Saccharomyces cerevisiae S288C: one gene and its partner. Changing the gene in region 1 together with any one later gene gives a genetic interaction. Each region holds a gene or a part of one and is shown on either strand. Other genes may lie near its edges.

What was found.
Region 2: of SCP1 (region 1) and ROM1, changing one suppresses a phenotype caused by changing the other (phenotypic suppression), as found in Saccharomyces cerevisiae (one study listed by BioGRID).

What each region holds. Positions count from the first base shown.
Region 1 is NC_001147.6:1,024,340-1,027,418, reverse strand, and holds SCP1 (Scp1p), read right to left. Parts: upstream 1,413-3,079; coding exon 810-1,412; downstream 1-809. Other genes in the region: RAD17 (Rad17p), read right to left, coding at 1-576; YOR365C (putative flavin adenine dinucleotide transporter), read left to right, coding at 1,847-3,079. UniProt on the Saccharomyces cerevisiae protein: Has actin-binding and actin-bundling activity. Stabilizes actin filaments against disassembly.
Region 2 is NC_001139.9:626,020-632,077, reverse strand, and holds ROM1 (Rho family guanine nucleotide exchange factor ROM1), read right to left. Parts: upstream 4,273-6,058; coding exon 805-4,272; downstream 1-804. Other genes in the region: ENV11 (Env11p), read left to right, coding at 1-597; ART5 (Art5p), read left to right, coding at 4,994-6,058. UniProt on the Saccharomyces cerevisiae protein: Stimulates the exchange of RHO1 GDP-bound form into GTP-bound form.

The DNA of each region.
Region 1 (3,079 bases):
AAATACATTCTCATCATTCGCCTCGGTCTTTGCATATACATAGCACTCTTTGCATCCGATTTCTTTTAGATCCTTTAAGGCTGAATGAAGGGCTTCGCCCTTAATAATTGCCTCAAAGCTTATCCTTTCTCTATCGAGTTCTAGTCCATTAGTATCAAAATCCTTAATTAAGTAGGTAGAGTACTCCACTCTCTCAGAAATGAACGAGTCTTCAAATATTAGTACAAATGGTGATCCATGTCCATCATAAGATAAAGTACACTCAACAATGTCATCCGAATTCCTGTTCATCACGCTAACGCTATCTAAGATATGATTTATTTTTACACAAAGTTTCATGTGATCCTCAGTTTCATTTCTATACGAATAAGACATAAATAGCTCCCGAGATAACAGTAGTTGGATTTTTATCACATGATTATTCTCCCTGACAAATGACAGCCCATCAGCATCAATGAATATAAGCACATCGTCTTTAGAACCAAAAGGTGTTAAACAACTTAAAGCAGTTGTGATATGTTCTAAGTGCACCGTTGAGGCAGAAAACTTGTTCGCTAGCTCACTGTTGATTCGCATAGTTGAAATCCTTCAACTACTTTGTTTCCACACCGTTCTGTGAGATTGATTTGTATAATCACATTTTTACCGGTAACGTTAACTTTTGTTACGCGTCTCTAGCCACCTTAGTGTTTATGTAGGAAAACTTTGATGGAAAACTAAAATATATCAAAGGAACTTTGGTTGCGTATATAGGGTTCTTAAATGTTTATTTATCAATTTCTGCCAGAGAAAGTGTTAATAATAATTCTCTAAACTATATCTCTCCGTTGTCCTAACACCACTCCTTCAGTAGCCTGAGATGCACCTTTCATATAACCGTATTCAAAAGTGCTCCATCCAGTACCATCTTGTAGATGTTTTGGTTTAGACTTAACCGGGGGTCTTGGCTTCTTTGTTGACAGTTGTGGTCCTAGAACTGGAAATCTATCTGTATGTTTTTTGTTGGCGTAACGAGATAGTGACTTCAACGTTTGGAAAACAATGGCAGGATCCTTTTTCTCAAAAAGATCAATTGTCTGAAACAGTTCATCTTCAGGCACACCATATTTTCTCGAAAATGATAAAAATTGGGAAATTTGATCCATTTGAACAAATGGCATTTTAGAGCTCTTCCAACTAATATGGTTAGCTTCTCCTGTGTCTGCTTCATATAAAATATTTGCCAGCTTACATAGGACTGTTCCATCTTTCAAGCATTCCAATAAGTCTCCAGGAGGAGCTATCTCTTTTAGGACAGATTTATATACCCATATTTTGATATTTTGAATTGCTTCCGGTGAAAATTTGCTTTCTCTTAGTTGTCTCAAATCTTCATCTAAGGATGTGACATCTGCCTTCTTATCGTAACTCATCGGTAAACTTTAGCTGTACGCTTACAAAGAAGTCATTTACTTAGACACTACTTATATCTTAGCTTTACTATTTGCGTTTATACTCCTTTTGGAACTCCACGGATGTCCAATTACACGTGATGAATGGGTGTTCAGCATATGTTACAACTATAATGCATGACATGATGAATATGTAGTGGTAATCCATGCTGTATTTTGTTATTACTGTAGCATGGTATTGATGCATTTTTAATTTTTATAATGCTGCTATGGAGCGATCCATATCGACGACAGCTTTAGTTCATGGCGGTCCATTTATATTTTTGTGCCCGAATTACTGACACATTTAAAAAATGATGCAGTGTCAATATTTTGGAAGGATGATGAAGCAAAGTCGTAATGCTATTTTAAATAATATTTAACCTCTCTGATTTATAGATGTAAAGAGAATAAGTATGCTTCCCATTAAAGTCTTCTCTTTATCTCGGATTTTTGTTTTGCTAGCAATCTTCCGACAAATACACGCTATTTCCATTAACAGCTCTACTTTCCAGGTTTCTAACTCTTTTACACTACTGAACAACGCATCGACTCTATTCCCAGTACCATTTGATGCATATACTAAAGAATATCTAAGGACTTCGGCTCTGTTGACTTGTGCTAAAGACTCACAGTTTTCTGCATCGTATTTCGAAGCTGCTTTTTTCCCGAGAAATAATACTCTATTCTTTAATGTTGAAGCACAAACAATTATGAGCGAAAACATAACCATCAAGGCAGAATTGATTGCATATGGTCTCAATGTTTATACCAAAGTTTTTGATCTATGTGGAATCCAAGATAATTTATTATGTCCGTTGAAGCCGGGAAATATAGAACTCATGGGAAGTTATTATGTTGAGGCCGCGGTAGCTAGCCAAATACCAAGCATAACATATAATATACCTGACTTAGACGCATATATTGTGGTGACAGCATACTCCACTATTGATAAAGAATTTACCAAACCTCTAGCATGTGTACAAGTGATGTTATCAAATGGTAGAACAGTCCAAACAGAGTATTTATCGTGGAATCTAGTGATATTGACAATTTCCGGAATTATGTTTTCAGTGGTTTATTCTTTGCAAGGTTATACGGTTACTTCAACAAGACTGGCGTCTTATTCAATATCGCTACTTTTATATTTCCAAAATTTGGCTATTTTAGCTATGATTAGTGTATCATTTTTACCGCCTATTGTCGCCGCTTGGACTCAAAATTTCCAATGGTCAATGGGAATAATAAGGATAAATTTTATGCAGCGGTTATTTGACTGGTATGTTGTCGCAACATCTGGGTCCCCCACCGTTGTATACCGCAATAAAGAAGTTTTATCGATCAGTGTTCAAAAAAGATCCTTGAACAGTAAAATCATATCAGCGTCAAGTAATTTAAATGGTATTGAAAGTTCCCAAAAAAATGATTTATTATACACTTCAAATTTGAGAAATTCAAATGACTATCTGTCAAAAATTTTAGTATTAAGAGGTATTAAAAGGGTGTCTTACAAAGCTGGAATTGAGATATCAAATTTCTTTTTAACGGGATTTTCCTTCTTTATCATATTCATTTGTATGATAATATTGGCGTTTATTATCTTCAAAACATTTTTGAAAGTACTTCAGAAGTTTAAAGTTAAGACAATT
Region 2 (6,058 bases), on another chromosome or scaffold:
TCTAATAGTGGTGGGGAGAGCGGTCGGAATTCCGGTAATAATCTTCTTTCTGACTACGAGGCCATTTTTATGAAAGAATCACGGGACGTAGAGCTTTTATGTAACACCAAGTTAACCGCACCACTAACAGAAGATTCATTACTTGTCCAAATCATTCGGGATGATCTATTACGCTATGTCAACAGAATTGCGCATGAGCTGCCTAATGCATACCATGACTACTTAAATGATAATGATATTAGCTTCGATGGATCTCACTTTACAAAACATGAGTTATCTGAGGAAAACGACTCTAACTCGGGGGAATGGTGCCTAAATCCCATGGAAGAGACATTTGATATTCATATTCCTATCTCGGATTCAATTTGGAATAATTACATAAGCAGTAAAAACAAGATTGAAGTAATCGATATTTTACTTCAGTTGCTTTCAGTAAATTCGACATCTTCAATACGGTCAGAATTATCTTCTCTAACAGCTAATCAAGACTTCAGTACCAAGTTGAGTGAGGAAACAATTAAAATCAAACTTTTGAATTCACAGTTTAATCTCGAAAAAATTAATTTTCACTCTGGATCAATTTTCGATGCTTGCTAGTGACATAATATTCCAAAGGAAAGGACAATATACTTTCAAGACTTTATTTTCTAGGACAAAATTCTTGTCCATTGTATTATATTTTCTTAATGGCACCCATATATTTCAGGTAAACTACATATGGTTATACAAATAAAATAATATTACTTAAATTTAGATGTATAGGTTCAAGAAATAAGTTTTAAGGTATTAATATGGGCGGTCAACTCAAAAATTTAACAGTTCGATAATTTCAAATCCTTGAGGATCCTCATAACAATATAAGATCTTCTTGGCATATGATTTTAACATACGTATCTTGTTTCCAAGTACACAGCGGACAAGTTCTCCATTTTCTATATGTCTAATTTCAATAAAGTTACTATTAATTGCCACAATATAAGGGTAGGAACACGCGAACTGTTCTGGTTCCCCCTCCCAATGAAAACATCCCTTTGTCTCCTCCCTCTTCCCTTGCTTATTGAGAAAAAAGCAGAGTTCTGGAAAACATGCAAAAGTTGAATTTTTTATCGGAAACATGGAAACTACTTTGAACGTCTCTTTATACATGTTCGCTAAAACTTTGTTATCATGTAGATTTAAAAGCTCCCTCATTTTAAATCCATTTTTATCACACACTTCCGGTACGTTTAATATTTTGATATTTTTTTTACAACCAATGCAGATCTTATTCTCCAAAAAAGAAAAGGACAGAGGTTCAGAATCAACGCTAAAATCTACCAAGCCTGCCTTTAGGTTTTTTTTAAAATTACCGCTATTAAAATCAAATATCAAAGGATTAACAATCAATAATTGTACGGCGTGCAAAAAATGATGTGCAATCATAATGATTCTTTTACCATTACAGAAACCGTCTTTGAACATTGCAACATATTTAAATAACACTTTAGAATTTTTTCTGAAAAGAAAATCTGCATTTTCTGCATCGTCGATTACGTCTAAAGGACAGCCGTACAGTTTTTTGTCAATTAGAAGAATCATAACTTTATATTCTTCCAATACAGAGATCTGTGAAATTGATATTTTGTGCAGAAGGTGCACTGGTTTTTGATTGATCGATGTAGCATAATTAAGAACAAAGAGTCCCATATTTGTTGCAACCAATAAAATTTTACCAGCATGACAGATTAGGACATCGTTGACGCGATTAGTATTTATGTATGAGTGAAAGAATTGACCTACCATTTGCTTAAAAGTAATATGTTTAGTTTCATCAAGGAGCCTTTTTTGCTCTTGTTTCACCTTTTCTATTAATGTCTGTAATCCGGCCGGCTGCGGCGCGTACAAAGTAACTTGATATTGTTGTTTCGTACCGTAATAGGCGAATACAATAGCATTCTTGGGATTGCTCGTTTGATATTGGGGTAAGAGCACACCCGCTGAGCAATTTGGGTTTTCTGTCACATATCTTTTTATGGGTGGCATATCCTCAGCCGGACAAATAAACAGTAAAGGGAGTGGAATTGGTCTCTGAAATACAGTGTGTTGGTGCCACTTGTTTACAGCTTTTGATTTCAAGAATAATAGCATATTGTCGAGTAGGTAAAATTGAATGTCTCCTGAAAAGGACGCATCTGTTTTGTTCACGTCCTTCCTTGAGAGTAAACCTTCATGCTTGATTTTCCTTTTTTCGTTATTCAAACCCAGATTAACGTATTCATTTTTGAATAGAATTTTCTGCTTTAACACTTTAACGTCATAACGATCTTGTGCTGCACCGCTTGCTCTATCAATCCTTTTCATTAGATCCTTTAAAAGATCTTGGACTTTCATTAGCATTTGTAGATCATCTTTGTCTGTTACTGGGTCCGAGAAGTGTATTATTTCTCTTACCAACAGTGAATATCTACCAGGTCTTGAAACACCCTGAGATAGGAATGAATCGATCCCATGCCTCAGGGAAGAATTAGACACTTCATCGTCAAAACGAGCAAAATTGGGATTAACTGATCTTTGGGTTTCAATTAGATACTTTGCGTATGGTCTTGATGCTATGTATGACAGAAAAGGATCAAAGAAAGGAAGATACTGCAAAAATATATCTGCAATTCCAGGACAAATTGGGCTTAATGATTGCCTTTGTGCTAAAGCCTTCAAAAATTCTCTATTGACAGAATATATTTCATTGATATGTGCGAAAACGTGCTTTACAAAATTTATCCTTACATCAGATGGAATAATATTCGTTTCTAATAATTTCTTCATGAAAGTATCTCGGATGATTTCCAAAGATTTTACAAACTTCTTTTCTGTAGTAAACAACTCATATATTGCCTCCTGCCTTTTGATTTGTTGTTTGGATAATGATTCCCATACGCTCTTTGGTACAGAATTTGTCCAGGAAATTCGTTCATCATCCTCCTTATCGAGTGCTAACGAAATATTTCTCTTAAGACCACCACCTAATTTTAAATGTAAATTAGCCTGTTGTTGCAAACGATTGGGGCAAGAAATAGAGTAGCAAAGTTTTTCCAGAGAGCATGTAGAGGAATAACAATGTGTCAATGGGACAAAAACACCATATATTTCAGTTTTAGTACGGAGCGAATTAACTGAAGAAGATGATGAAGAAAATGTGTTGGCAATTGAAGTAGAACTCTGCGACTGATGTGCCATAAAAATTGATTCTGAAGATAACTCGTAAATCTCCAGTACAGAATCTCTTACGCCATGGTCATAAAGTACGTCATGGAACAATTTTTGAGCTTCCAGCGATTTTCCGATCAACATGCCCAAATTACGATCTAAGCTTCCTATGATCAAGCATAAAGTATCAATTGCTTGTTTTCCTGTAAAGGAATCTCTGTAAAGTAACCCCATCTTTTTATGCGTGCTCAATTTGATGGTCTGTTTGAATTTAATTGCTATTAGTGATAAAAGTGCAGGATAAACCAAAGGCGTGCCTTTGATCATGGATATTTCCGTCAGAGAGACAGGACTTGATTTGGACCTTGAATGATGACGTTGGTGTTGATTAGTATGGCGTCGATATTGACTAGAATGATTGGAAGAGTTTGATGAGCGTCTATTTTGGGTTTTCAGTGACTCTAATGCAAATAAAGAAGAGGTGCTAGAAGAACTATGTTTTCCATTGAATGAACTGTGTAACTCCATCGTGTGACCTGCACTTTTGGGAGTTGGAGGCGTAGATAGCTGGTTTGGATCCCCCATATGACTGCCACTGTTTTTGGAAAATGATAATAGTGAAGGAGATGAATGTTTTCTTACGTGAGGAAGCAAAACATTCGATCTTTTTTGAGAAGGTGATGAAGTGGTAGTGCAACTGTTACCTTTATCTTGTCTGGTCGAATCATTTATTGAAATTTTTTTATTAGTAGGTGAAATCTGATCGCCTGTGAAGGATTGTGGACTTGAATTAAGGTTTGTTGAAATATGTAGGACAGGAGATGCCTTTAATTGGTGGGAAGAACAGTCCGGTGCTATCCTATACCGTGCACCGGTGTCGTGCCCTAGTGTATAATCCTTCAATGAAGCCTTATTTTCATCTTCAGTACTATCTTCATCCTCATCGTTAGTGATAGAAATTTCATTGATGTTTGTCTGAACTTTGGAGCCGGAGAACAACTGAGTAGGGGTTGAAGTATCTGATTTTCTTTTCTTACCGAATATCTCATAAAAATATTTATTTCTTAGATCCAGTTCATTACTATTCATAACCTAACCAAATTCTTACCAACGACTTGGTTTTATTTATATCATTACTAAATCAACAAAATTTTTGCTTTAAAATTCAAACGTGGCGTTCTTTTTTTTGATTTAGTTTTATTTATTTACTTTTTCATTCAAGAGCAAAGAAAAGTTTAAAATTAACGATTCTCCCTTGGGCCCCTTATGATATGTCTAAATATTGCCGTTTTAGGGCAAAAAAGATGAAGTGCGTTTACTTTCGTATAGAGTTTGTAGATATGACATTGGCAACAAAAAATCATGGGAAATTTAAGAAACATACAAACGTATGCGTGAAAAAAAAATCGACACTAGACGCACTAGGTGGTGCTTAATTGGAGTACTGGAGCGCTCCTTTAGATACAAGATGACAATTTATTGAAGATCGAGTAGGGGACGGATTACTCCCACATTAAACAGCAGGTCTTTCTTATTATAAGGAATACAAAAACAATTGAAGTAAAATGTTAGATCTAAAAATGTTTCTTTGTCTTGCTTTGTATGTATGTAATAATATACTCCTGAATACTTCACTTCGTCTTTTACAATTCTAAAAAGGCAGTTTCTTCGAAAACTGAAAAAAAAAAAAAAAAAAAAAAAAAAAAAAGAAATAGAAGGAAAATGAAACAGATGATTAGGATGAGTATAAGATGGCAAAAGTAAAAAATATCTTGTACAGCTCTCGGCGAGAATAGGGTGAAGCAAGACCATGTTTTCACTTAGTTCGCTATCTAGCAGCGGTGGGCATTCAGAGCAGAAGGAAAGAGAGAGAATAAGTTATTTTGATATTAGAATAAACTCCCCGTACAAGGACATAATTTTGATCCAAGGGTCACCGTTGGAACTGTCGTCTATACCTTTATCAGGAAACTTAGTGATTTCAGTGAAAAATGAGATCGTAGTGAAGAAAATTTCGCTGAGATTGGTAGGAAGATTCAAATTGGAGTTTTTGCAAGTTGGCCGATATAAGAAGAATAGCAGTAGTTTGGCAAGTCTAGTTAAGGAAAAGCGTAAGATTTTCGAATGCTATTGGGACAACTTATTGGTTTCTTCAAAAGGGGATGTTTTAGTCGGTGGGGAAAATGCGGAAAATCAACATAACAGTAGTAGCGGTCGCAGTACAAGCAACCAAGATATGGACACCAGCGGCAACGCAATATTTCTAAGCAAGAGATCACTTTCGAGCCCTGTTTTCAACAAAATAATTCGAAGAAAGACCCATTCTTCCCACAGAAAAATACTAGAGCTACCAGAAAATGGTGTTACAGGAACCCCTTTCGAGGGTTTAAGAGAAAACGCCCGTAGTAGAAGCAGTAGTAGTAACACCCTCAATAACAATAGCCATAGTTATAGTAACAGAGACGGGTCTGGAAGTTCGTACTTATTCCTAATGAAAAGAGGCAACTACGAACTACCCTTCAATACAATGCTCCCCCCAGAAGTGTGCGAAACAATCGAGGGACTACAAAGTGGTAGCATACTGTATTCCTTTGAAGCCATTATAGATGGACGTCAGTTATGGGATACTGATCTGAGCGTTCATACTTCTCCTCACGGTCCAATCGGTAGCACAAGTACGAGCGGCAATGGTATGAGAACGAAGAATAAAATTATCATCAAAAAGTTCAAGTATCTCAGAATCCTTCGTACATTATCGATGGACAATCTTGCCATGCAAGAAGAAATTAGCGTGGGTAATACTTGGCGTGACAAGTTGCAATACGAAACGTCCATCCCGAGTAGGGCTGTTCCTATTGGTAGCACAACCCCCGTG